7 linked regions of the Callithrix jacchus genome follow. The protein of the gene in region 1 interacts with the protein of each later gene in a pairwise test. Links are inferred from orthologs where the notes say so. Each region holds a gene or a part of one and is shown in the gene's direction. Other genes may lie near its edges.

Region 1 (4,292 bases):
ATGTGTGTTTCTGCAAGCTGCCTCAATGTCCCCCTTCCTCAGCAGTCATCCTGCTCTGTGTCCCTGAAATAAGAGCGGCCCCTCAGCGGCCGCCTCATTTGGGTGGGACCCATGGTGACACTCCATTACATTTGTCAACCTCCCCTTTTTCCTCTCTTCTCTTTTGGGGCCCCCAGCCTTTGTCCCGTGCTGGAGAGTTGGCCCCCCGCCCAGACTCTTTATCCTCTTCCTGGTTGGGTTTGGCGGATACTTTCACGCATGTCCCATCACGTTCCTACCCTGCCATTCCCAGGTGGTGTCAAATTCTTTTCCGGGCCCACTCCAAAGATGTGAGGAAGAAATGGTGCCTGGGGTGCTCTCGCTGCACCCTGAGAGGCATATTACACAAAACGAATAAGCGCTTTGTGTTTAGGTCCATGATTTCGACTTATGACCTGGAGAGGCAGAGGGCCCTGCACCAGCCTTGACCATGGCCTCCTGAGAGTCCCCAGGGCCACCAGGCCCCCTCCGCCCTTCCACCCTCTCCAGGCCCCCCATTCCAAGTGCTCTCCTTCAATGTGCCTCGGCTCTTGCCACAGTCCGCCCAGCCTGGGTTAGGACACGGGCGCTCTCTCCACTGTACTCTTCTCCACAATATTCTCAAACCTCCTGTCCATGCAGAGAGAGCGCAGATGGGTAAGTTTTCCCCCCTAAAACTTGCCTAAAATCAGCGCGTCGGGCCCCGGGGCGCCCGGGATGCGAGGGCGGGGAGGTGGCTGCCGGGCGGTCCGCGCACCCACCGCGAGGTGCTCAGAGGAGCTCGGCCCAGCGGCGGCGGAGGGAGGCCGGCCAGCGGGGTCTGCGAGCGGAGGCCCGGGCGGCGGCGTCCCCGGGGGCAGGCAGGCCGGTCGGGCCCCGGCCGGGGCGCTGCGCCGCGGCCTCCGCGCCTCCTCGGGGCGCCGCACGACCAGGCCCGCGGCGGCGGCGGCCCCCGGGGATGGCGGCGGCCGGGCTCCGCCAGCAGGTGGCCCCGGGGTCCCGGCGGCGCCGCCCCCTCCGCCGGCGCCCCTCCTCCCGCGGGGGCGGTCAGCGCCCCGGCCGGCTCCGCACCCGCCGCCGCCCTCCCCGCAGCCCGCCCGCCCGCCCGCCGCGTCCCCGGGGCCGCCGCCGCCACCGCGTCCGCAGGCTGAGCCCAGGCGGGCCGGCCGCCCCGAGCCGCCCGCCCCCGCGCCCCCGCGCCCCCGCCGCCGCCGCCGCCGCCGCCGCCGCCGCGCCCCCGCCCGGCCCGCTCCCAACGGAAAGTTGGGCTGCGGCGGGCGGCGTCTGGAACCCGCGGGCCGGCATGAGCGGGGGCCGCGGGGGCGCCTAGGGCACTGGAGGCGGCGCCGCGCGGGGGCAACTTCACCCGGGAGCCCGCGCCGCCGGGCCCCGCGCCAGCAGCCCCGAGCGGGCTCGCGGTGGTTCCTCCCGTCCCGCGGCCTCCCCCCGCCGACTCCAGGCGCGGACCTTGGTCCCGGCGGCTTCGCGGCGGTGACACGAGCCCGCGCCGCCGCCGCCTCAGCCGCCGCCGCCGCCTTCCCCGCACCATGGAGTTCTCCGAGAGGAAAAGAAGCAGGAAATCCCAGAGCTTCAAACTGGTGAGCCGAGGTAAGCGGCCGCCCGGGCGGCGGGGGCAGGCTGCGGGCGCCGCGCCCTCGGCCGCCCGCGGGGGTCCACGCCGGTGGGCGCGCCCTCCCGGAGCCCCCGGTCCTCCCCGCTCGCCCGGTGCCTCCGCCGAGCTGGCGGGCAGGGCCGCGGCCGCACACGCCGGGCGGCGGGGAAAGTTGCGCGGGGGGAGGTGGGGTGTTATTTAACGTAAACAAGTCGGAGGGCAGCTCAGGAAATTAGCAAACAATGACACCGGGGGGCAGAGCCCTCCTCGGGGCGCCTCCGGGGCTGGGCCGGGGCGGCCGCGGACCTGCCTGGCCATCAGGCCGAGCGTGGACCCTCGGACCTGAGATTTGCTGTTTTTGTTTTCTGGGGTCTAACCCCTTCCCCCCGCCAAGAGGAGGAAAAAGGATGCCCGTTGTTGTTCTTTTTAAGAAGGAGAAAGAAGCTCATGCGGTGTCCAAGCCCAAGGTGTAATTATTGTCATCCAACATCTCTAGCTAGCTGATTTGGGTTGGAAAGGTGTTTTACACTATCACGTAGCAGTCAGATAAGTATCCTTAAAAAAAAAAAAAAAAAAAAAAAAAGAAAGGAAAGAAAAGACATCCAGCTAGTTCCTGATGAATTAACAGGTGTACACCACACTCTTGGGTTTTTATTTGGTCAGGGAGGGGAAAGTGGAATACAGTCTTGTGTTCGGTTACTTGTTAAGTGTCTTCATCTTCCTGATTTCACTTTTTTAAAAAATGTTAAGGTAAGAGCCATCGTGAAAATATGTCTCAAAATGCATTGTCATCTTTAATTAGGGGCAGATGACTTTTCTCATTGTAATGTCACCAGTCCTCATATTGAGTTTACACTCGCTCTGTTTAAATGTCGTCTTTGAATCAAGTTGAGGTCAAAGCCATAGAACCTGTCCACTTTTCCTCTGTCGTTTTCTCTAGCATGGCATCAGAGTAGAAACTCTTCAACAACTGCCAAAGTCACGTGTAAACTGATGAAAATTAGTGAAAAATTGTGGACAATTGCAAGTAATCGAATTTTTCAAACTGAGTTAAGCTAGCTAAGATGTGGATTTGGTTCGTGATGAAAATGGTTTGATTATAGGCATTTTGAAGATCTATTCTTATCTCTTTCCCCTAATTTAGTTTGGATACTGTTTAATGAAAGAGGCCTGAAATCGTTTCACTCATTCAAAATACTTGGCTCTTCCCACTTTCTGAGTAAATTTTTTTTTTTCCACATCCGTGTTGATTACTCAGTTACTTGGACTTTTAAAAGTCTCTGTCTGGGTGACTGCCCTGTTAGTGCTGCTATCTGATACATTCAGGAAGGTAGGCTGCTGCTTCTTGTTGACCGCAGAGAACTTAACTGCTTTATCTTAAAAGTGAGAGTAGTTTTGTTGACCTTGTCCTGTGAGGTCTAAGGCCAAAGGAAGGGGAGTAGGTATTAAGGAGGAAACTCTATTTTTATTTCTAGGTAACCCTACTTATCAAAAATGGAAGCCAAAGTGCAGTAGCCTCCATAGAGAAGCTTGTAAAGTGTTGTATTTTAAACTTTGACTGACATAGCAAGTTTTTCCTTTTTTCTTTCCTTCTTTTTTTTTTTTTTTTTTTTTTTTTGGCAAATTATGGGTCTGATTCTTCTCTCTCTGCAGGTGTGGTTTTAGAAAATAAAGTATTGCATATTAAATAAAGTACAGTAGCTTGAATGCGAAAGAGTCATTTGTGTGAAAGATGAAAATCTTGCTTTCTTATCCAAATTATGCTATACATTTGAAATAACGAAACATGTGTGCTTGCCTTTAAGCTGCTTAAAGGCTGAGGTTTGCTGGGTAAACTGAGAAAACTGCAGTGCTGTCTAACTTTAAAGCATACTGTTGATATACTGGTGAAAATGGGTTGTGAGGAGAAATTTGGAAACCTCCCCTGCTCTATGATTGGGCGAGATATTTCTTTTCCTTGTAAACATACTTGTCACCTCAAAGAAAAGAAGCCTAAAAATTGGCAGCTGTGGGCACAATTTACCGTGAAAATGATGTGATCATGCCAAGCCGTTTTCTCTAGTCAAAGTAATTTTCCAAGTTTTCGTACTCCAGAATAAGCACGTTTTAGGAATTATTATTGAGTACAAATTCTGTGATAATTGACTTCTCAAAAAGTTTATTTAAAAATTATAGATTATACATACTAAATAGAATGAGAGTCTAGACTTGACTGCTTATGCCTGTCTTGAAGTCATTAGGAGGCTAATTTTTGGTTGTTTTCTCATGCCAGATTATCACCATGAGGTATATAAGATCCCAGAATTCAGCAGCGATGTTAATGGGGAGGCCAAAGAGACACAACCCATTTTTTTAGGTAGGTTCCTGTGTCAATTAATTTCTCAGCAAAACATCGTGGCCATTTGCAATTAGGGGGAAAAAAGGAAATTGTTGAGGAACGGGAAATGTCTGCCGTGGCTTAATGTATGACATTCTTTTCAAGACCTTTTATTTTACAGATTGCCAATATATCCCTTATTAACATTGCTAAAAGTTGTAATTTCAGACATAAATGTTTATTAGTGTCTACACACAGTGCTAATTATCACTCACTCACAGAGCCAGATGCTGACTGTGCAGTTTTGTGGCTCTGCGCTCACCCCATTTACATTGCATATTCGCT
Region 2 (4,167 bases), on another chromosome or scaffold:
TTATTATTATTATCATTATTTTGACTTTGTCACTGAAGTCACTCAGTATGGATTTATATTTTTGTTCTTTTTAAATTCTAATGTTTAAATTTTTTAAAATTTAGAACACAGGGTCTCACTATGCTGCCCAGGCTTGGCTAATTCACACAGGCACAAGTTGCCTGCCAGAGCCTCTGGAGTAGCTGGGCGACAGCCACCATATCTAGCTCTTGAATTTAATATTTAATGTTTACAACTATCAGATCAGCTTAAAGAAACAGAAAACACCCTCTAAAGTTCTCTCTCCTATGTGTTAACCAAACCAAAAAATGAGAAAACTTTGGTGTTAAGACCAAAAAGTATATTTTTCTCCCAAAATGCAAAGCTTTTGGATAGGTTTCTTAAATTTTCTACTTCACACTCTCCCTAAGATTGCAATAAAGCACACCTTTTCACATTTTAAATGAAAAACAGCTCAGATAAGGTGTAATATTAGCTTACCTCTCTACATGATCTTAGCTCCTTAAACTCTCTGGTGGTCCAGTGTCTATCTTTGAAGAAATTAGTGCTATTTCTTTTGTAAAAAAGATCCCAGTTTTTCTGAGCCTCTTGTTCCAATTTTTGCTGTTTAAAATCAGACACCAAAGTTTGGTCTCTTTTCAGTTTCTCCTCTTCTTCAGAGCTGAGAATCCTTGCCTGCAGCCCTTTCCTTTGCAAAGAAGCCATCTCAGAAACTGACGGTAACAGAAACTTAAGGCAGCTGAAGATTCTCCATCCCCAAACAATATAAATCCATGCTAATGAGTCAGATGCATTTCCTCAGGTGAGTTGCTTCGCAGAAAAAAGAATGAGATTCTGGTTAGTGGTTCTAGAACAGTGCAAGACGGCAGGTTCAATTCACAAATATTTATGAGATGCCGACTGTACAAAAAAAGATCCTGCCCGCTATAGGTGAGGTCACAAAGAAGATCAAGACACAGTCCATACTTCAGAGAAGATACATTCATTCAGTGGCCAGGACTATCTTATGCACCATACTTTTATTCAAACCAGATGAGACAACTGTTACAATAAATCGATTTAGTTTAGAAAAAGGCCCTCTCACGAACTGACTGAGAAACCTTGTGGAGAAAATACTCCTCAATTTTTGGTGCCCATGAAAGGGGTAACTTTAAAACCACAATGGCCTTAGCTGGAAGCGGGTGGTCAATTGCCAGATACAAGTGAGTTCCCCGTTTCCCAAGGGTCGGAGCTCCGTTTTTTCGGGGGAAATGAAGCGAAGCCTGGCGGGGGGGCTCCGTTCCTGATCGCACTCACAAGAGGCTGTCGTGCGGACCAGAGGGGGCGTCACTTTCCAGGGACTGAGGCTCTCGCACCGCTATCACCGCGCGAACAGGAGGAAGAGACCCAGTGACGCGTGGCTGAGGTCCCGCGGATCCACCTCAGGACACTCAGGATAAACTAGGCCACGTGGGGCCCTAGACCCTGAGGAGGGGCGCCCTTAATGACTAGCCGACCCGCGTATCTAGTCAGCCACGCTCAGGGGTTACTGTCATCAGTTCCTAAATTCAACTGTAGGGGTAGGGCCAGGAGCACTCACCCCACACCCAGCTTCAAGTTTCGGAGGCAGAATATGGGAGGCGTCGCGGCACAACTCTGAGCCAATCCTGAGGACCTCGCAGTGGGATTCTCCGGGAGGAGTTCTTTTGTCATGGCACCGCCCCCGCCACTTCCGCTGGGAACCCGGAAGTTCCTACCCAACGTCGGAAGTCCCGCGGCCTTACTGCCTCAGGTTCTTCCTCCACCCCGAGACAGAGAAGAAGGCTTGCTTGCGAACCCCTGTGGGCGCCGGCTCGGCTTTCCTTGCGCTTCAGAGCGGTGTCCTCCCAGGAGCAGCGTCCTTCCAGACGCCAACGCCGGAAGCTCGGGTCGCGGCTGTGCCAGGAGAGCGCCGATCCGGGTGCGAGGTCGGTGCGGAACCATGAACGGGACCGCGAACCCGCTGCTGGACCGCGAGGAACATTGCCTGCGGCTTGGGGAGAGCTTCGAGAAGCGGCCGCGGGCCTCCTTCCACACGATTCGTTGTAAGTCAGCGCTCCCCACAGTTCCCTTCGGCCGCTCCAGGCGCCACATATCAACCCCTACTCCTTCCTTTCTTCCCTCAGCCCTTCAGATTCCAGGGAACCCCCTGCCAGCGTCAGTTACCTTCTCTCGAACCCCAAATCCTTTCGTACTTCGATTTGTTCCTTCTTTTACCCAGATTATTTCTCCCAAATCTTCGTCACCCCCTTCTATTCTTCTACCTCATAGTCTCAAACACTAGTTCCAAAGGTCATTGGCCTCTTTCCATTTCCATCCCTCCCCGACCCCCACCTCGCCCCTAAGGCAAACCTTCCCCTCCTTCACCAGGCAAACCTTTCTTATCCAGGTCCACTTCTTCCCCCTCGACACCCCTCTTCCTCCTTTCCGATGCTCCCATCAGGGTTCCCCACATTTAAAAGACAGTTCTTGTTTGCTGTGAGCCTCATCCACTCCCTCCGAATCCATTCTCTTCCCTGTTTTCCTCCTCCGACCTGGTCCTGGACACCCAGATACTGTGCTTTGTCCGCTCTACGGCCAAAGAATTGGCAACCTCTCTGTCCTCATCAGAGTCTTTTTCCATCTCCTTTCTGTGCTTCCTTTGACTTGGATCTCTTTTGAGGTTACCTTTACCACCCTGGCTTTTCCTCCAGACCAAGTTCCTTGGTCAAATTAGAGTTCGTGAGCCTGGGGTAGGTTAAAGATTGGTCTATGTTTGGAAGCAGAAGAGAGCAGGCGCAAGGAATGCCGAAATAGTCATTACGCCGGACCTTTTTCTACAGATTATAGACTCTGTTGAGCGAGTGCACTTCCACCCTATGTCCTGGGTGAAGATTTGGCAGTTAGGAATTGGCTGACAGAGCATCCCTCCGTGATTCATGAACTTCTGGTTTCCGTGGCACTAACGCTGTTGTTAGGACTTGTTTTTGTCAGAGGACCTAATAGATGTGACTCAACACACGTGAAGAGGGCGTCTTAGATAATGAAATTCCATCTTTGTGTGGTCACTTGCCATGCCATTACTATGCTTCCTACTGACAGATCCAGCACTTTCAGAGAGAGGAGATTGGGAATGAGATAAGAACATCATTTCCTGAACAGTTTACTAAGTTGATGTTTTCTTCTGGTGAAGGGCAAGGTGGAATTTATCATATAGTTCATGTGTGCACCTGGCCTGCAGTTTGAGGCAGGTGTGAATGTGAATTAAGATGGCTATTCGTGTTGTACTCTTAACTGCAATTTAGAAACATGAGTAGGATAAATTTTGGAGATACAGTTGTCTGCTCCGAACATCTACAGAAGTGTCTTGGTTAAAGCTGTGGAACTGGCCAAGAGTGGTGGCTGACACTATAATCCCAGTACTTTGGGAGGCCGAGGCAGGCAGATAGCTTGAGCCCAGGAGTTTGAGACCAGGCTGGGCAGCATGGTGAGACCTCATCACTATTCTTTTTCATATGCTATTACTTTTGATCCTCACAACCCTAAAAAAGCAACTTATTATGGATGATGAGGCATTAATTTTCATCTCTCCCTTGGGAGAAGGGAATGTCTTTGTTTAATAAAATAACCTGTAAATTTCTTTTCCCCCCTAGAATAACTCAAAGAGGGTCAGAGGAAAAGTATGTGGAGGTGTAGATGAAACAAGATTGTCCCTGAGTTGGTAATAATTGAAACTGGATAATGGTACACCAGGGCTCATTGTACCATTCTCTCTACTTTTGTGTATCTGAGGTTTTCCATAATGAAACAGGTTCTTAAGGCGGAACGCAGTGGCTCATTCCTGTAATCCTAGCATTTTGGGAGGCCAACGTGGGCGGATTGCCTGAGTTCAGGAATTTGATACCAGTCTGGGCAACATAGTGAAACCCCGTCTCTACTAAAAAATACAAAAAATTAGCCGGGCGCGGCAGCATGCATCTGTAGTCCCAGCTATTCGGGAAGCTGAGGCAGAAGAATGTCTTGAACCCGGGAAGCAGAAGTTGCAATGAGCTGAGACCATGACATTGCACTCCAGCCTGGGTGACAGAGTGAGACTGTGAGACTTTGTCTCCAGAAAAAAAAAAAGAAAGAAATAGATGTTTAAGAATTCTAAATTAGTTTTATTTTCTA
Region 3 (2,907 bases), on another chromosome or scaffold:
CAACCGCATAAGCGCAAGAAAAAATCCAGGAAAAAGTCTCTCAAGAAACCTGCTTTATTCTTAGAGGCAGAAAGTAACACTTCCCATTCAGATGATTCAGCATCCAGCAGTTCTGAGGAAAGTGAGGAAAGAGACACTAAAAGAACCAAAAGGAAAAAGAGAGAGAAAAAAGTCCATAGCCCTGTAGCCAACAATGAAATACAAGAGAGGACAAACAAACGCACAAATTGGAAAGTGGCTACAGATGAAAGGTCTGCTGAGAGCTCAGAGGATGACTAAATGGGAAACATTTTTGTTTTCCACATGACTGTGGATATTTACAGTTCTTACTCCTTGTGGTTTTGCAGGTGACTCTTGTTCAGCACGGGGGCCAGAGGTCAGAGCTGTCTTGTGCCATCTGTATGTTCCGACAGACTTCTTGTCTTCTAGTCCGGCGTTAAGCTTGATCCCCTTTTCTTGTTAAAAGGGCATCTGGTATTTTGTTATGAAGGTTTCTTGAAGAGATTATTTTTTGCAGTTAATCACATTTAGTATAGCACACATATACAGCAAATTAAAGGACCCAGAAAGCTGGATCCAGTGGTAACCTGGGTACACCAATTGGAATATTGAATTTGGGGAAGTCAAGGGCTGGGATCAAGAGGTGGATTGGAACTAATGCTGTGTAGGATGGTATGACAAGGCAACACTATATTGCTCTTTGTTTATATAGCAGGTATCACAACTGACTTGTCTTTAGCCTTGGTGCTTCGATCCTTCTGTATTTTGACCCTACAGGTATGGTCCAGTTTACTTAATCAGGAAATGGGCCTAAGAACAAACGTTTTCCTTTCATGGTAACATCCGTAGACAACTTACTAGAAGAGACTACAGTTTCCTCAAATTTCCCTGCTGGACGGGGCCTACAGCTGTACTTAGTATACCCCTAAACATTGTAATTGGATAGTAAATGGTTTTCTAGCTCCATTGCTGTATATTTGCCTAAATGGACTTGTGTTCAAATTATTTCTTCAGTTGTCACAGATAAATCCTTTACCAAATGGGGAAGAAATAGGAAATAGTCATGTTGTCTAATGGTACTCTGGATTCAGGGCAGCAACTGCCATTTAAACATTATCTTATTAATGAACTTTAGGTTTTCCCTGAAACTAAGTTGAATTATTTCCAAAATGAAACAGGCTTCTCAGGGACATACCCACTTCTTCCCAGTCTGCCTTTGGATTAAAGCACCAAGCAGAGACCACGTTATTTCCCTTTGCTATACTGTGATACTTAGTATGTTAATTCTTAAGAAGCCAAAATGTCACTGAAAGAAGGCTCGCAGAACACAAGTGCATTTTTTCACTATGGGAAGAAAGATCAAGTGACATGTTATTTTTTCCTGATTGTCACTTAATGGGCCGAGTAAAAAGCTTGAAAACTCAGACTTTTGATTTTGGTTCTGCCACTAATTGGTTATGAGGAGGCCCAGAGCAGGTAAATTCACCTTCCTGGCCTTACAATTTCCTGGTGTGTAATACAGAGTTAATTCATGGTAGCATGACAGTATAAGACACCAGCAGTAGATACAACTATGATGACATTCCATGAGGTGGTATTTTTAGTTCTAACTACTAAATTTGTCCTCTTTATGGGACAGATTTCTAATAAAGTGCTTGGTCTTAACATACATGGTTGGACAGAGGTGCCCTATCCCTTAACTATGAGCAGGTGCTACCTTTTGGGATATTTATTTGAAATTTTAATACTTTGGTACTCAATTGTCAATGTTCCATGGTGTGTATTTTTATTTTTGGGATTAGTGGGGGCCTAAAGGGAGGGGAATAGTCTATAATTACTACCTCTTAACCTAAAACAATTATTTTGTTCCTGGAGCAAGTTAAAGCTTTGTTAGAAGGAGCTTTGGCCATATATTTTTTAGCATGCATTGTTTCTGTGCTCTGAAAGTACTGATTTTAAGCACGGATTCAGGAAGATGGGCCAATAGAACAGGTCATCTCCAGGAAATTGGCTCTATTTGGTTCCTGACCTTCCCTTCCTCCCATGGTAGCAAGGAATACACATCTTGCATTTTTTTTTTTTGCCATGTTAATCTTTTCTTGGTCATGTATAAGCAATAAAGCTGTTTTTTGTTCTTCATCTTTCTCAACCCCAAATTTTCTATGCCTTAGGCTTTGATGCTTCTTCCAACCCCCTTAATATGGCCTAGGGTGGCTTTTCAAAACCTACAATCCCCCATTTGCACTGCTGGCCATGGAGCATTTATTTCTAGTATTCCTGCCAATCAGAGATCTCTATATTCTAAAATGGGATTAAAAGAATAGTTGGAGAATTCACATTATTGAATAACTGATGTGATATAGCCTGGAATTTCTGAATTCCAAATAAATAAATTTCACTCTTTGAACATTTCATCTTTTACTTTTTAGCACCAGCAGACTTGATAACAGCCAACCTTCCCCTACTGGCCCTTCAGTCTGCTTAATAACAAGTCCTTTGCTTCTGTCATTCTCCTGGGGGATAGCCTACTGCCCTCCTTTCTGTACAATCTGGGCAAACCGACTGGTGATGGCAAGAGTGGTGTCAATGAAGCGGTCTACACAGCTGGAGAGACAGTTTTCAGTTCGAGAATCTAGGCGATTCCCTGGCTTCTCCACACACTTATCCCAACATAGTTCCATGAAATGATGCACCTAAGAGGAAAGAAAAATAGTAACCACTGGGTCTGCAGATAGGCCTCACTCTGTTTAACTTACCACTTTTTCACGTCTGACAAACTATTCTTTAAATGAACCACGGAGCCACTTTGGGCTCTTCTCTTTCTTCATTTTCTAAGTAGTCACCAATATTGATGCAGATCCTCATCCCTACAGATTCTACATTCTCTAATAACCTTTTATATTCCCC
Region 4 (3,500 bases), on another chromosome or scaffold:
TACTTTCAAATGAGCAAATCAAACAAGATTCTGCAAGAGCAGAATCTGCATCAACACTGTCATCCTGCAGACGAATGTATATTCACTTTCAGGCAATTTCTTAACTCGTTTTTTCAACTAAAGATAATTACCAAAATATGTGATTTTGTTGTATCACTTAGATTCTGTTTTTCTTCAAGTTTTATGGGATGCTATTCATGCAGAAATAAAAATCTCTATTTTTAATACCATACTGTGGCAGAATGATTCTGTTCACGTCTCCTGCAAAATCGGGGAAATAATCTTCTCACTTCCAATTTCTTCTGATCAAATTTGAGGTAAGAATTTTTTTGGTATTGACTTTCCAGTGACCAGGTTCTCTCTTTTTTTTTTTAACCAGTTTTTTGGACACTAAAGCCATGCAGACCAGGTTCTTTTTTCTCAGGGTTTGAATTCTTATGCTTAATCTGTCTCACCTTCATAATGTCGCCTTGTTCATACTTTAAAAGGGTGATTTAATAAATAGTGTTATACAGTTGAATTTATACTAGATTGCCTAATATTTCGGTTCATTGTATTAGGTGTATTATGATTTGCTATGAGTGAGCTTGTAATGGATGACCCTAGGAAATAGGAAAGACCAAAAATCAGGAATCATATGACTCATTTTAACCTCTGGTAGTATCTCTACTACTGTGAAAATGTTAGTAGCTTTGGTGGAAAGATTTTCCACCTGTGGTAGTCTCAGGGCCAGAAAGAAGTCCTAATGAACAGGCTACCATTTTGTATTAGCATTGCAATTAAGGGGTTAATGTAAGCCTTATTAAAGAAGAAGAATGTTAATGCTGAAGTTAAGTGTCTGTTAATTCTCTAAGTGTTCATTATTATGATAACAACATGTTGGGATTTAAATTTCTGCTAGTCTTGCAGGCTTTCAAGGGAATTTTCCTGGTTAATTTATATAACCAACTCAAACCCTCATCACTGCATGGTGTTGGTGCTTCCTCATGGAGCAGGGATTTGTGGAATGAAATTGAGCAATTCTTCTATTTCCCTTTAGGGCAGGATTTCCCTGAATAGAGTTCTACTTCTCACCAGTTAATGGAGCAAAACCCATTCTTGGTTTAGGGGATCACACCAAATTTGTCTCCCTCTTCAAATGACAATTGGAGATAAAAGTAATGGAATCTTTTATTTTCTTTGGTCTCGTGAATTATGATGCTGAATCCCCAGTTGGTGGTGGTTATATATTCTCAGACCTCTGTGATTTCTGCAGATGCACAGAGCTCTTTCAGTTCAACTTGTCATAGGTTCAAGCACGTGGCAGGAATTTAGTAAACACGCGATGACCTTTGTGAGAACTGTGACATGATTACATTTATAAAAGGGCAGAGACTTTTCATCTATGTATGTAATGCTGTGTCCTGGGATACCTTTGACTTGATTGGCACTTTGTTTCAACTCTAGGCCACCTTTGGATTGCTGTAGGCCAGTTTGTTCTCTCCTTCATCTTGGATCTCCCTCCAACAATGCTCAGCTGTATGTTTTTCTAGGAATTCTATGGCCAAGTTAGGCAGGTCATCTCCTGAAATAAGTCCCTTGAAGTTTTTTGTGCATTTTGATTCTTTTCTTCCCCAAAATAAATTTCTTAAATTTCCCATTTAGATCTCTTATAAACCAAACAGTTTACTCTCACTTTTATGTAATAAGTGCCTCTAGAAGGTTTTTTGAAACTTTCAAGTTCCTAACTTATTTTCATATAACCAAATTTATATTAGATCATGGAAAGGGCACATGCATTGAAATTGGACCTTGGTTTAAATCTTGGAGCTGCCATAAGTTAATTGTGTGACTTTGGGTAACTGGTTTACTCTCTGAGCCTCATTTTTCTCATTTGAAAAAATGTGGTAACAGTATATATCTTTTACGGTTGTTTTAAGGATTAAAGAAATAATGTATGTTCTACCCATATCTTCTTGATTCCTCATGATTTCTATAACCCCACCAGCCTGATTTCCTGTGCCCAAAACCACCATCTTGGTTACTTCCATCTACTGACACCTACCTTTCCCACATATGGCAAAGTCCCTGGATGATAATAACCTCTAGAGCATTAGTCATAACTAGTGACTTAACAAGTGACTGCTGATTGTGGGAGGATAAATACCCCAACTTCTTTACCCCTTTCCTGGAATAATTTGGAGGCAAGTTATTTACCATATATTCCAGAGTTTCTGCACTGAATTAATCTTGAGGCACCTACTACAGCAGCTGGCTTGATGATATCCCCCTTATTGCCTGCTTTCCCTTCCTCATATTACCTTTTTGTATGCCTGTTGGTGTCCCTGCATCTTCCCAGTAATTACCTGTAATCAATCCTTAAATGAGGCTCTGCCTCTAGGAAGAACCCAACGGTGAGAGTTGAGTGCAGTCAACTCCTTGCATAGTGCCTACAACATGTAGGCATTCAGTAATTGCAAGTTATTCGTAACATGTATAATAATAAACCAAGTGTTCGCTCTCCACATAAGACATTCTTTATTCCGCATTGAGAGATATCAGGCGCCATCAGGTTTTGTTCTCCCAGTTGGAGCTACTTTTACCATACAGTGCTGTCCCCTGGTGCCTTTCTTTTAGGTGAACAACAGCCACTAATAGTTTCCCTTCTAAGACACGTGTGGCTATTGATCACTTGAAGTGTGATTAGTTTGAATTGTGCTTTAAGTGCAAAATATTTCGTGGATTTCAAAGACTTAGTATAAAAAAATGTAGATTATCTTACCAACAATTTTTACATTTTAAAATGATGTTTTAGATATGTTGGTTTAAATAAAATATATTATTTAAATTAACTTCACCTGTTTTTTTAACCTTTTAAAGTAGCTACTAGAAAATTTTAAATTTTACATATATATAAAGCACATTAATATACTAAAATTTTAAACTACATATACTTAATAAATTATAGATATAATTAATTATATGTTATTTTAATTTCTATCAGACAGTGTTGTAGACAATTATTAGAGTACTCTGGGATATCTCTCTTTCGGGGTTGTCAGGGCAGCCTGTGATTTCCTTTTGTGTTTTTTTACTTTAGGTTATCTGTCGCCGCACCCATCTCCGCTGGGAGCCCCAGAGCACGTCTCCAGCCCGATGTCTGGAGGTGGCCCAACTCCACCTCAGATGCCACCAAGCCAGCCAGGGCCCCTCATCCCGGGTGATTCACAGGCCATGAGCCAACCCAACAGAGGTCCCTCACCTTTCAGTCCCGTCCAGCTGCATCAGCTTCGAGCTCAGATTTTAGCTTACAAAATGCTGGCCCGAGGCCAGCCCCTCCCTGAAACGCTGCAGCTTGCAGTCCAGGGGAAAAGGACGTTGCCTGGCATGCAGCAACAACAGCAGCAGCAGCAGCAGCAACAGCAACAGCAACAGCAGCAGCAACAGCAGCAGCAGCAGCAGCAGCAGCAGCAGCCACCACAACCACAGACGCAGCAACAGCAGCCGGCCCTTGTTAACTA
Region 5 (3,500 bases), on another chromosome or scaffold:
CATCCTCCACTTATGTACTCCAATATTTGCACTTGGCTCTCTTCCCTTTTTCATGCCATTGGTTTGCTGGAAAAACTGTTTTATCTGTCTTAGAGAATATATCTACATTCTGGACTTCAAATTACTTCCATCTGGATATATTTAACTTGTTCCTCTATTCCTCCTGTTTTCTGTAAACTGGTAGTTATATTTCTAAGGGCAGGCTGGACTATATATTCTTTGGGGTTTGATAAGAATTAAATTCTTTGGGGCTTTTGTGTGGTTTTTGGCAAGAGTATTTTATGGATGATGCTGTGTACTTTCATATTACCTCATTAAGCACATAATGTCTGCTTATCTCACTTTTAATTATGCTAAAATTAATTAGTGGGTTCAGTGTAAGAGGTGTTGCTTAATCTGCATAGGGAGGTGCTACATTAAGAAAATGCCAGATTTAAAAAAATTAAACTTACAAAGCAATAAGAAGGAAGAAGAGGAGGGCGGATGCGGTAGCTCACACCTGTAATCACAACACTTTGGGAGACTGAGGTGGGTGATCACTTGAGGTCAAGAGTTTGAGACCAGCCTGACCAACATTGTAAAACCCCATCTCTTCTAAAAATACAAAATTTTATCTGGGCATGGTGGTCCCAGCTACTCTGGAGGCTGAGGCAGGAGAATCACTTGAACCCGGGTGGTGGAGGTTGCAGTGAGCTCAGATTGTGACACTGTACTCCAGACTGGGCAATGGAGTGAGACTGTCTCAAAAAAAAAAAAAGAAAGAAAGAAAAAAAGAAGAGGCATAGAAAATATGATTCAAGGCTCTATTTCCTTATAAAATACATTGGTTTAGTTATATTCAAATTGAATCTCAATTGCTCATTATAGGCCAGTGAAACAAATCTTCACTGGCCCAAGGTGAGTACCTCCTCTCTTCCCTTTCCTCAATGATAGCACCTTTGAGATTTCAGCCTATCTTCAGCTGTATTTTTTACTACACTCTTTTTGGATCCAGGGTAGTAAATTTAGGTCGTTTATAGGTGACTTGAAGTATAACATAGAAGGAGAAACACAGTATCAAGATTTCAAAGGCCCTCCCAACTGAATTCCTATGGTAAATTTTCAGTAATAATAATTAACTTTTTAAACAGGGTTCAACTCCACCAGTAACTGTTTTCAAAGGTTCAAAAAAACCTTACTTAAAAGAATGCATTTTGATTATTAACCATGATACTGGAGAATGTCGACTAGAAAAACTCAGCAGCAACATCACTGTAAAAAAAACAAGGTATGTGGTTTAATGAAATAAATTATATTATAAACATAAACTTCTAAGGAAATGTTAAGAAAAATTGACTGTATTAAGTAACATTATTATACAAGGGGGTTATTTCTGTGTGCTACAAAAACGTTTTAATCTTTTTCTAAGTTTAAATTTGGTGGAGATTCTAAGCCAAAAGCTTTTTACCACATCATCCTGTGATATATAAAAGCTTGTTTTGCTTCTAAATGCTTTCTATAGGTATAGTTATACTTTTTATTCTGTTGTAGATACTTTCATATAACTGGATTGAAAAGAGCCATTATACATTCTCTAAAATAATTTCATCTTCATTAATAAATATTTATCAAATACCTATAATGTGTAAGGTACTAGAAAAAGGAAAGTTTGCTATGCAAACACCTCAAAACTTCTGCATTTTAATCAGATAAACAGACTATTCCATTTAAAAAGTCAATAGGAGAATATACTCATCTCAAATCCTTTTTGGAAATAGGTAACACATTACTTGCCATGTAATATAATGATATTTGCTCTAAAAGCCATGCAAATAGTATAGACAAAAGTTGCTCTAGGAATTAAGAAAAAGGAGAAGTAATGGTAGATTGGAACATTCAGGGAGACATTTTTGATGTACCTTAAGAGGAGGTTGGGATCGTAAGAATTACCTTGGGTGCTTGTTAAAAATTAATTCCCAAATCTAACCTTAAGTCAGGGAAGGATCCTGGGAAACTCTATTTTTTAATATCTCCTCACCTTTACCACTCATGCCCTGCTGTGATTCATACTAGAAGAAGGTTTGTGAAATTCCAGCTTAATTGAGTAGAAAGGAGAAGACGATGTAAGCCAAGTTTGAAGGCAGAAATATATCTGACTTATTCAGGGCCAGTAAGACCTATTTGAACAGAGCAGAGGTTTATCTCTGTACCTGTGTACATGTTTTAGAAAGTAGGGGGCGATGTTGATATTGGGCTAGAGGTAAGGTTGTAACTTTGTTGGTTGAGGTTAATGCCATCAATATTAACTAAGAAATTAGGACATTATCTTGCTGGTAGTGGTTACATATTAAAGTCTTTTTAACCAGGGATTGGCATGTTTACAGTTTGTTTTAAAACGTTAATTCAGTAGAGAAACTGAATAAATGACAACAATGTAGGAATCAGAAAAACGTATAAACCAGGAGTTTTGAGAGCAGGAATGAAGAAAAAATGAGGGTCTGAAGATTGTTTGTAGGAAGAACTGATAGGATTTGGTGACTGGAAATGGGAGAGGCAAAAATCAAGCATACTTTTGTTATATACTCTTCTTAAAGATGTTGAGAGAAATGTATATGAATCTCCTTTATTATGTCTATCTTAAGTTATGAATGGAAAATGTAGAAGTGATTTAGTTTTAACAGAAATAATAATCTTAGAACTTAGGGAATATATTGTACCTGTTATACACTTGTGTTTTTCCTTTTATTTTAGTCATTTGTGAATGCCTTATCTGTTCAATTTAAGCAATGGCTTTATTCTTTAGTTGTTGTTTTATTTATTTTTAAATAGAGATAGGGTCTTGCTATATTGCCCAGGCTGGTCATGAACTCCTGACCTCAGGCCATTCTCCTTTCTCGGCCTCCCAAAGTGCTGGGATTACAGGCGTGAGCCACTGTACCAGCCTGGATTTTTGTTTTTGTTTTTTGAGACAGGTCTCACTCTGTCACCCAGGCTGGAGTACAGTGGTGTAATTATAGCTTATTACAGCTTCAAACTGCTGGGCTCAAATGATCCTCCCACAGCCTCCTAAGTAGCTGGGATTACAGGAATGCATCATTATGCCCAGCCAATATTTTTATTTTACTTTATTTTTTGTATTGACAGGGTCTCACTGTATTGACCAGGCTGGTCTTGAATTCCTTGGGTCAAGTAATCCTCCTACTTCAGCCTTCCAACATGCTGGGATTACAGGCATGAGCCACCAAGCCTGGCACGGGTTTTGTTTTTGTTCTCATTTGTATCCCTCAATGGACATGTGTATCACAGAAACAGAACCTGACAAATACTTGTTAAATGATGAACTAAATTAATGTTTTAATTTTGGATATTATTCTAAAGATGTTTAGGAAAAGAATAAGTGGTTGATTTTAGTAACTTTGTAAGTTGAAATTTTTGTTACATTGCTGTCATACCTGTTTTAATATTTCATATTCTTAATTGCAGAGTTGAAGGAAGCAGTAAAATTCAGTATCGCAAAGAAC
Region 6 (4,002 bases), on another chromosome or scaffold:
AACGACGCGGCTCGCTCCGCCCCAGTTTCCTTTTATGGTTTCAGCCCCGCCTCTCCCGGGTTGCCGGGTGCGCTAGGGAAAGCGTGGCGAAAGTGCGGCGGCGAATGTCAACCGTTGGGCCTGAGCCGGAGGGTGTGGCTTGAGCTCGCCCTAGTTCGTTCTTGCCTCGGTGACCCACCGGCCTTGTCACTCAGGATTTGGGTTGGCCTTTGGAGTATCTACCTTCTCCTAGGTTTAGTTTTTAAAAATCGCCCATGATACTGCTCATGGGCTCCTATTTATTTTAGCATTGTAATTTAAGTTGTATTTTATGCAACTCTACCTAGGTACAGAGAGCTGTTGATGTTAACTGCGGTGACTAGCCAAGGGGCCGAGGCTTTGTCTCCAGAGGATCCCTATCTGTCAGCATCCATCAACTGTACTTGTATATTGAATGCAGTTCCTATCTGCCTTTTGTTTCGACTTCTTCATGCCGTTACCCACTCTTCATCAGTCTAACCTCCATGTTTATATTTATTTCCTTTTGTTGAGCGAGCCTTTTCCCGGGTCTTGCTCAGTCTCCCAGGCTGGAGTGCAGGGGCGGGATCCTAGCTCCGTGCAGCCTCAACCTCCTGGGCTCAAGCGATTCTCCCACCTCCTAAGCAGCTGGAACTACAGGCGCCCGACACCAGACCCTGCAAATTTTAAAATATTTTTGTAGACGGGGCCTCGCTATGTTGCCCAGGCTGGTCTCGAACTCTAGGACTCAAGCGATCTTCCTGCCTCAGCCTCCCAAAGTGCTGGGATTATAGGCATGAGCCGCCGCCGCGAACCATCAGATATTTTCATTTCTATCCACTCCATTCCCTGGGCTCTTGACGAATGTGCGGAGCTGATATTCGTTATCTGGACTCAGGCGGGGAGGCGTGGGCTTAGCTTCGCGCTTGCGCGCTGCTCTTGGAGACGGCGTCTACTTCGCCCCGCCCCCATGGTCTGCAGTTCCGGCTCTGCAGATTCGCTGCTCACGTTTTTTTTTTCCGTGGCCCTTTCTGCCTTTTGTTTCCCTCTTCATGTCACCTGCGGGACAACTCGACCTGCAAGTCACTTAAATCGGTTTTCTGCGTCTTTTAGTAAGCGACGGGCTCGCCAGCCTCGAGCGAAAGTGTGACTGCGAACGGGCAGGCGCGCGCGGGGCTCGGCGGAGGCGCGCTTGGGCTCCCGGCGGCGACGACTACGACGACGAGGAGAGCGGACGGAGGCGGCGCCTGAAGCAGTGGCGGAGCCCATGCCCCGGGACGGCGGGCGGGCCGGGAGAGACAAGTCCGGGGCCCGGGGCATGTCCCCGGGGCCCCCGTGAGGAGGAGCCGGCGGCGGCTATGGAGATCCCGCCGCAGGAGGCTCCGCCCGGGCCGGGCGCAGACGACGACGTTGAAGAGGCCCCCGTTGAGGCCGGGTCTCCCAGCCCTGCCTCGCCCCCCGCGGATGGGCGCCTCAAGGCTGCAGCCAAGCGCGTCACGTTCCCGTCCGACGAGGATATCGTGTCTGGTGCAGTGGAGCCCAAAGACCCCTGGAGACATGGTAGCTACTGCGGGAGAAGCGGGGGCGGGCTCGAGGGGGACCCGGGGGTCGGGAGGGATCGGTGCAGAGCCCCGTTCAGAGGTGGCGTTCAATAGATTGCACCTAATGGCTAATTAAGGGGACAGTCGTCAGTTTAGAGTCGGAGGCTGTTAGAAGGTGGCCGTGGAGTTGGGAAGGTGAAAAGTATCTGGTTTCTGCCGCACCCCACCCACCCGAGACAAAGGAGGTGATCGTTTTAGGGTTTAAAACGATGAGCATTAAATAAAGTTTGGTGGTTTGTCAGATGGGGAGGGTGGCAGCCTTTGCGTTCGTAGTTCTACCAGAAAAGGAGAGCGAGAGCAGTAAAGGGAGGAGGAGCAGGTCAACACTGGCCCTGAAAGGGCAGTTGTAAGAGTTTGCTGGGTCTCTGAGGCTAAAAAGAGGTTAAGTTGCTGGTCTGCAAGCCTCGGGGCAGGGAGTGATCGTGTTGGTCACTTTCTTGGCTGGAAAGAGGAAGAATATAAACCTGAACTGTGACTGTGGAGAACTTGGTAAGCTCCCAGAAGAGGAGCAGGGCTGGTGGTCAATTTGTGGTTAGGTAAGGGAGTCAGAGGCAGTGTTGTTTTTTCTTTTTATTGTGATGATATCTCATTATGTTGCCCAGGCTGGTCTTGAACTTCTGGATTCAAGCGAGCCTCCCGCCTTGGCCTCCCAGAATGTTGGGATTACAGGCGTGAACCACTGCCTCCAGCTGCAGTGTGGTGTTAAGAAAAGCCAACGGCAGAAGGAAGGCTGTCAGTCGTTCAGGAGCAGAGGATGTTTGGGGCATGACTGTGGAAGGGTCTTCTTGTTCCTTCCTGAGAAAGAATGAGCCAATACTGGATGCATTGGCTCATTCCCATAATCCTAGCACTTTGGGAGGCCGAGGCAGGTTGATCACTTGAGGTCAGGAGTTCAAAAGCAGCCTGGCCAACGTGGGGAAACCCTGTCTCTACTCAAAATATAAAAATCGCCTGGGGCATGATGGTGTGCCCTGTAATCCCAGCTACTTGGGAGGCTGAGGCAGGGAGAATGGCTTAAACCTGGGAGGCAGAGGTTGCCGTGAGCTATCACAACATTGCACTCCAGCCTGGGTGACAAGAGCAAAACTCTGCCTCAAAGAAAAAAAAAGAATGAGAGGATGTTATCAAGTCAGGAGCTAGAGTTGCTGGCTATTAGCAGGTGAGAGAACTGAAGAAGTTTGACCACTTGAGGTGTTGGGAGAGGGGGCAAGCCCACTGAAGAGGGTCAGGTCAGTGTTGGAGCTGAAAGGAGTGTATTGGAGCCATAGGGCTGGGAAGGTGGAAGTTGCTTGGGAGATGCAGGGCAGTGTTGAGTTCATTTCGTGCTGGAGAAGTCTGTCAATCCTGCTAGGGTGGAGCCCATGAAGTGAGGGATTGGACTGGCTGTGGTTCTCTAGAAGCTGATCTCCTGGCCCAGGGTAAGGGGAGAAACTTTTGCCGGTCTGTGGACAGTGGAGGAAGTGGTGGCTTTGATGTGAGGGTGGGAAACGTGGTAACTGGAAACTGAACACACAGGGAGTCCATCATGAATGAGTTTGGTTACTTCTTCTTATTATTGTTTTAGATGGAATCTCCCTCTGTCGCCCAGGCTGGAGTGCAGTGGCATGATCTCGGCTCACTGCAACCTCCGCCTCCTGAGTTCCAGCAATTCTCCTGCCTCAGCCTCCTGAGTATCTAGGATTGCGAGCGCCTGCCACCGCACCTGGCTAAAAGTGTTTGTATTTTTAGTAGAGACAGGGTTTCACCGTGTTGGCTAGGCCAGTCTCAAACTCCTGACCTCAGGTGATCTGGCTGGCAGTGGTTAAATTAAGACTTTTGGGCTGGGTGCCATGGTTCATGCCTGTTACCCCAGCACTTTGGCAGGCCAGCGTGGGCAGATCACCCATGCCCAGGAGTTCAAGACCAGCTTGAGCAACAAGGTGAAATGCCATCTCTAAAAAAAATAGAAAAATTAGCCAGGTGTGGTGCATATGCTTGTAGTCCCAGCTACTTGGGAGGCTGAAGAGGGAGGATGACTTGAGTTCAAGAGGTTGATGGTGCAGTGAGCTATGATTGCGCCACTGAATTCCAGCCTGGGTGACAGAGATCCTGTCCAAAAACAAGAAAAAAAAAAGAGACTTTTGGCACTGGGAGCCAGCCAAGTCCTTGGGCTCTACGGCCCAGGGAGAGGTGGTTAGTTTGGGACCAGGGCACAGTCAGAATGGCCCCTGGCTATAGCATGGTATCCAGTTCAGAGCAGGAAGGGGAAAGACCTGGAGAGTCAGAACAGGGTGGTTCAAGAGCAGAGGCTCCAGGTCAGAGCCTTCGAGACCTCAGACTGGTTACCTAGCTCCTGAGCCTCAGTTTTCCCATCTGTAAAGTAGGTGGTAATACTCTCACCATGGGATTTAGGAGAGGGCTGGAT
Region 7 (3,206 bases), on another chromosome or scaffold:
ACAGTTATCAAATGTGGGAATTTAATACTATTAAAACAGTTGATATACAGTCCATATTCACATTTTCCCAATTGATAAGAATTTATAGCATTTCTTTTTCTGATCCATATCCAGTCCATGATCTCTCATTGCATTTAGTTGTTATCTCTCTTTAGTCACTTTCAATATGAAATAGTTCCTCACCTTTGTCTTCAATAGCATTGACATTTTTAAAGAGTATTGGCTACTTAGGCTGAGCGCAGTCGCTTATGCCTGTTATGCCAACATATTGGGAGGCCGAGGTGGGCGGATCACCTGAGGTCAGGAGTTCGACATCAGCCTGGCTAATGTGGTGAAACCCCATCTCTACTAAAAATACAAAAATTAGCTGGGTGTGGTGGTGCACACCTGTAATTCTGGCTGTCTGGGAGGCAGAGGCAGGAGAATTGCTTGAACCCAGAAGGTGGAGGTTGAAGTGAGCCAGGATTACACCACTGCATTCCAGCCTGGGCAACAGAGTGAGACTCTGTCTCAAGGAAAAGAAAAAAAAAAGAGTATAGGCTCTTTGTTTTGTGCTTCTCTCTCAATTTGGGGTATCTGATTATTTTCTCATAAATACTGTTTTAAAAACTAGTTTTTTTAAAAATGATAAAGTATAATGATATGTGCATAAGATAAATTCAAACAGTTCCAAAATGTTAAAATGTCTTTCCTATCTGGCTGTGGGGAGAAATAGAAAATATATTATCTGGCTAGCATTAGCTGTCTCTGGTCTGTGAGGCATCGCTTTTGAGTATAACTTCAGGGATGTGCAGCCCTACCTAAAGGACTTCTGAACTTCATCACCCTTCCTCTGAGCCTGAGGCAGTGTTCTCATTGTATTAGGTCGTTAAGGGTTAATACCCTGCAAGACCAGCAGATGGGGATCCTGCTCCTTGCAAATGTAAATTCTCTTTTGTCTTCATTCTCCATTTGCTGCTGCTTTTCCAAGCTGCCATCCTGGGCCAAGCTTTTCTTTCCTTTGGCTTCAGCTAGTATTTCAGGGTCTTCACTGATTTCCCCCTTTTTATGCCTTATCCAGCCAGTGAGTTTGTCACAGTACAGAGAGCCAGATTTATCTTTCCTAGTTGGAAACAAGGCTTCCAACTGGGCCATCTTAGTGTCTTTTTCTTGCTTTTTACTTTTACTATATATATATTTTTTTGAGACAGTCTTGCTTTGTCACCAGGCAAAACCCTCTCTCTACTAAAAATACAAAAATTAGCTGGGTGTGGTGGTGGGTGCCTATAATCCCAGCTACTCGAGAAGCTGAGGCAGGAGAATCACTTGAACCCAGGAGGCAAAGGTTGCAGTGAGCCGAGATTGTGCTACTGCACTCCAGCCTGGGCGACAGAGCAAAACTTTGTCTAAATAAATATATAAATAAATTAAAAATTCAGAATATTTGCGTTTTCCCCAAATCTTTTCACAACAGATGAGATTCCCTCCAGAGTTTCTAGGGATTTTGCTTAGTCAAAGAAAAATACTTTGTATTTAATTTGGAAATAATCTTAAATTCATTTCATTCTTATATATTAGACTAAGTTGATGATAGAAATATTGGTGCTTACAAAGCATAAGAGTCTGCTGGGCAGTATACACAGAATTTCCTTCAGAGGTATTTATTACGTACATAAGAGGCAAATTTTCTGAAGGCCTCATTTTACTTAGTAGTGGTCATTCATTTTATTGTGGAAACACTTTGAATAGGTGTTTGCAGATCTGGTTCTGGCGAGATATGTTGTATTGGATAATTGCCTTGGGGTCTGCCAAGGAAAAAGAAGTTGCAATTCTCAATGGGATGGCTTTTATTTTTATTTTATTATTTTTTCGAGACACAGTCTTGCTCTGTCACCGCTGAAGTGTAGTGATGTGATCTTGGCTCACTGCAACCTCCAGTCCCTGGACTGAAGGGATTCTCCTGCCTCAGCCTCCTGAGTAGCTGGGATTACAGTCATGCGCCACCACGCCCAGCTAATTTTTGTGTTTTTAAGATGGAGTTTCACCATGTTAACCAGGCTTATCTGGAACTCCTTAGCTCAGGTGATCCACCTGCCTAGGTCTCCCAAAGTGCTGGGATTATAGGTGTGAGCCACTGCACCCAGACTTTTCTCTCTTTTTAAGTTGGAGGACATAAAAGAAAACTGTACATTCACCTTATATAGAATACAAACTTGGTATTTCTGTTTTTGTGGTTCTTCATTCCACAGATTCCATATCTAGCATTTGAGAATTTGTTCTTTCCTTTTTGGTAGGTGAGATGTCCCATCATGATATTTTGGATGCTGCTTCCCAAGGAATAAATGTCATCCTCTGTGAACATAGCAACACTGAACGAGGCTTTCTTTCTGACCTTCGAGATATGCTGGGCTCTCACTTGGAGAATAAGATAAATATTATCCTATCAGAGACTGACAGGGACCCTCTTCAGGTGGTATAAATGCAGAAACCTCAGGATAACACATTCTACAAATCAGTTGGATGCCAACTTGAATTAGTAAAATGAGTCAGTGGGACTGGTGTGCCTCCAGAGAGTGTCTTAGACAGTATCATCATTTTCGGTTTGTTAATCTGATTCACCAAATGTTCTATCACTCATGAGATAAAAACTGTAATGTAACTACCATATTAAATAACAGGTATTCATTATAAACTCTAGGAAAGATTGAATAAAATCTGTTTACTTAACATTCTCTAGAAAGAGCTCAAGTAATTTTCTCCTTAGTTTAATTGTAGATGGGATGGATCAGTTGGGTTTCTCTGTCCTTGGTTACTTTAACATTATGCTTTGGGTATCAACACTTCTTTCTAGGTAGTAGCCTCTTTGCTGTGATAAGGTCTATTTGTCCCTGTTCCTAGTTCCATCTACATTCCAGTCTCACCTAAATTTCAGAATCAGAATGAGATTGATTTATCAGGATGTTTTAAAACTATACACAATCATTATTCATATTACTATTACTTTATTGCTTTTTAGATGACTCACCTGTAATTTTTTTTTCTTCCATAGTCCTTTGTTCCAGATTTCTGCTCTCACTTTCCTCTCCTGGGGCAATGAACTTGGCTGCAGGCAGAGGGCAGGGCCAGGGAGTGAAATTCCAGAGCAGAAAGAACAAAGTCAGGTATCTCAAAATATCATCCTGCTGCATTTAGTTTGGCACCTTTATCCAGACTGGATGCCCTGTTTT

What was found.
Region 2: the proteins of BEND7 (region 1) and EAF1 interact in binary tests that used the Homo sapiens proteins (3 or more experiments, as listed by UniProt). The two-hybrid records come from large-scale screens. The link is inferred for Callithrix jacchus from reciprocal best matches to the Homo sapiens genes BEND7 and EAF1.
Region 3: the proteins of BEND7 (region 1) and NKAPD1 interact in binary tests that used the Homo sapiens proteins (3 or more experiments, as listed by UniProt). The two-hybrid records come from large-scale screens. The link is inferred for Callithrix jacchus from reciprocal best matches to the Homo sapiens genes BEND7 and NKAPD1.
Region 4: the proteins of BEND7 (region 1) and SMARCA2 interact in binary tests that used the Homo sapiens proteins (3 or more experiments, as listed by UniProt). The two-hybrid records come from large-scale screens. The link is inferred for Callithrix jacchus from reciprocal best matches to the Homo sapiens genes BEND7 and SMARCA2.
Region 5: the proteins of BEND7 (region 1) and EAF2 interact in binary tests that used the Homo sapiens proteins (3 or more experiments, as listed by UniProt). The two-hybrid records come from large-scale screens. The link is inferred for Callithrix jacchus from reciprocal best matches to the Homo sapiens genes BEND7 and EAF2.
Region 6: the proteins of BEND7 (region 1) and PPP1R37 interact in binary tests that used the Homo sapiens proteins (3 or more experiments, as listed by UniProt). The two-hybrid records come from large-scale screens. The link is inferred for Callithrix jacchus from reciprocal best matches to the Homo sapiens genes BEND7 and PPP1R37.
Region 7: the proteins of BEND7 (region 1) and NIF3L1 interact in binary tests that used the Homo sapiens proteins (3 or more experiments, as listed by UniProt). The two-hybrid records come from large-scale screens. The link is inferred for Callithrix jacchus from reciprocal best matches to the Homo sapiens genes BEND7 and NIF3L1.

Annotation. Positions count from the first base shown.
Region 1 is NC_133508.1:14,517,168-14,521,459, reverse strand, and holds the start of BEND7 (BEN domain-containing protein 7), read left to right. Parts: upstream 1-1,492; 5' UTR 1,493-1,565; coding exon 1,566-1,626; exon of another isoform or gene 1,627-1,808; intron 1,809-1,912; exon of another isoform or gene 1,913-2,077; coding exon of another isoform or gene 2,078-2,099; intron 2,100-3,902; coding exon 3,903-3,986; intron 3,987-4,292.
Region 2 is NC_133518.1:54,229,290-54,233,456, forward strand, and holds the start of EAF1 (ELL-associated factor 1), read left to right. Parts: upstream 1-1,367; 5' UTR 1,368-1,690; coding exon 1,691-2,063; intron 2,064-4,167. Other genes in the region: tRNA N(3)-cytidine methyltransferase METTL6, read right to left, coding at 481-705. UniProt on the Homo sapiens protein: Acts as a transcriptional transactivator of ELL and ELL2 elongation activities.
Region 3 is NC_133511.1:11,787,919-11,790,825, forward strand, and holds the end of NKAPD1 (uncharacterized protein NKAPD1), read left to right. Parts: coding exon 1-279; 3' UTR 280-2,407; downstream 2,408-2,907. Other genes in the region: TIMM8B (mitochondrial import inner membrane translocase subunit Tim8 B), read right to left, coding at 2,526-2,693.
Region 4 is NC_133502.1:108,514,011-108,517,510, forward strand, and holds part of SMARCA2 (SWI/SNF-related matrix-associated actin-dependent regulator of chromatin subfamily A member 2), read left to right. Parts: intron 1-3,079; coding exon 3,080-3,500. UniProt on the Homo sapiens protein: ATPase involved in transcriptional activation and repression of select genes by chromatin remodeling (alteration of DNA-nucleosome topology).
Region 5 is NC_133516.1:81,051,658-81,055,157, reverse strand, and holds part of EAF2 (ELL-associated factor 2), read left to right. Parts: intron 1-1,130; coding exon 1,131-1,267; intron 1,268-3,462; coding exon 3,463-3,500. UniProt on the Homo sapiens protein: Acts as a transcriptional transactivator of TCEA1 elongation activity. Acts as a transcriptional transactivator of ELL and ELL2 elongation activities. Potent inducer of apoptosis in prostatic and non-prostatic cell lines.
Region 6 is NC_133523.1:39,285,965-39,289,966, forward strand, and holds the start of PPP1R37 (protein phosphatase 1 regulatory subunit 37), read left to right. Parts: upstream 1-1,202; 5' UTR 1,203-1,355; coding exon 1,356-1,557; intron 1,558-4,002. UniProt on the Homo sapiens protein: Inhibits phosphatase activity of protein phosphatase 1 (PP1) complexes.
Region 7 is NC_133507.1:122,013,311-122,016,516, forward strand, and holds the end of NIF3L1 (NIF3-like protein 1), read left to right. Parts: intron 1-2,273; coding exon 2,274-2,458; 3' UTR 2,459-2,706; downstream 2,707-3,206. UniProt on the Homo sapiens protein: May function as a transcriptional corepressor through its interaction with COPS2, negatively regulating the expression of genes involved in neuronal differentiation.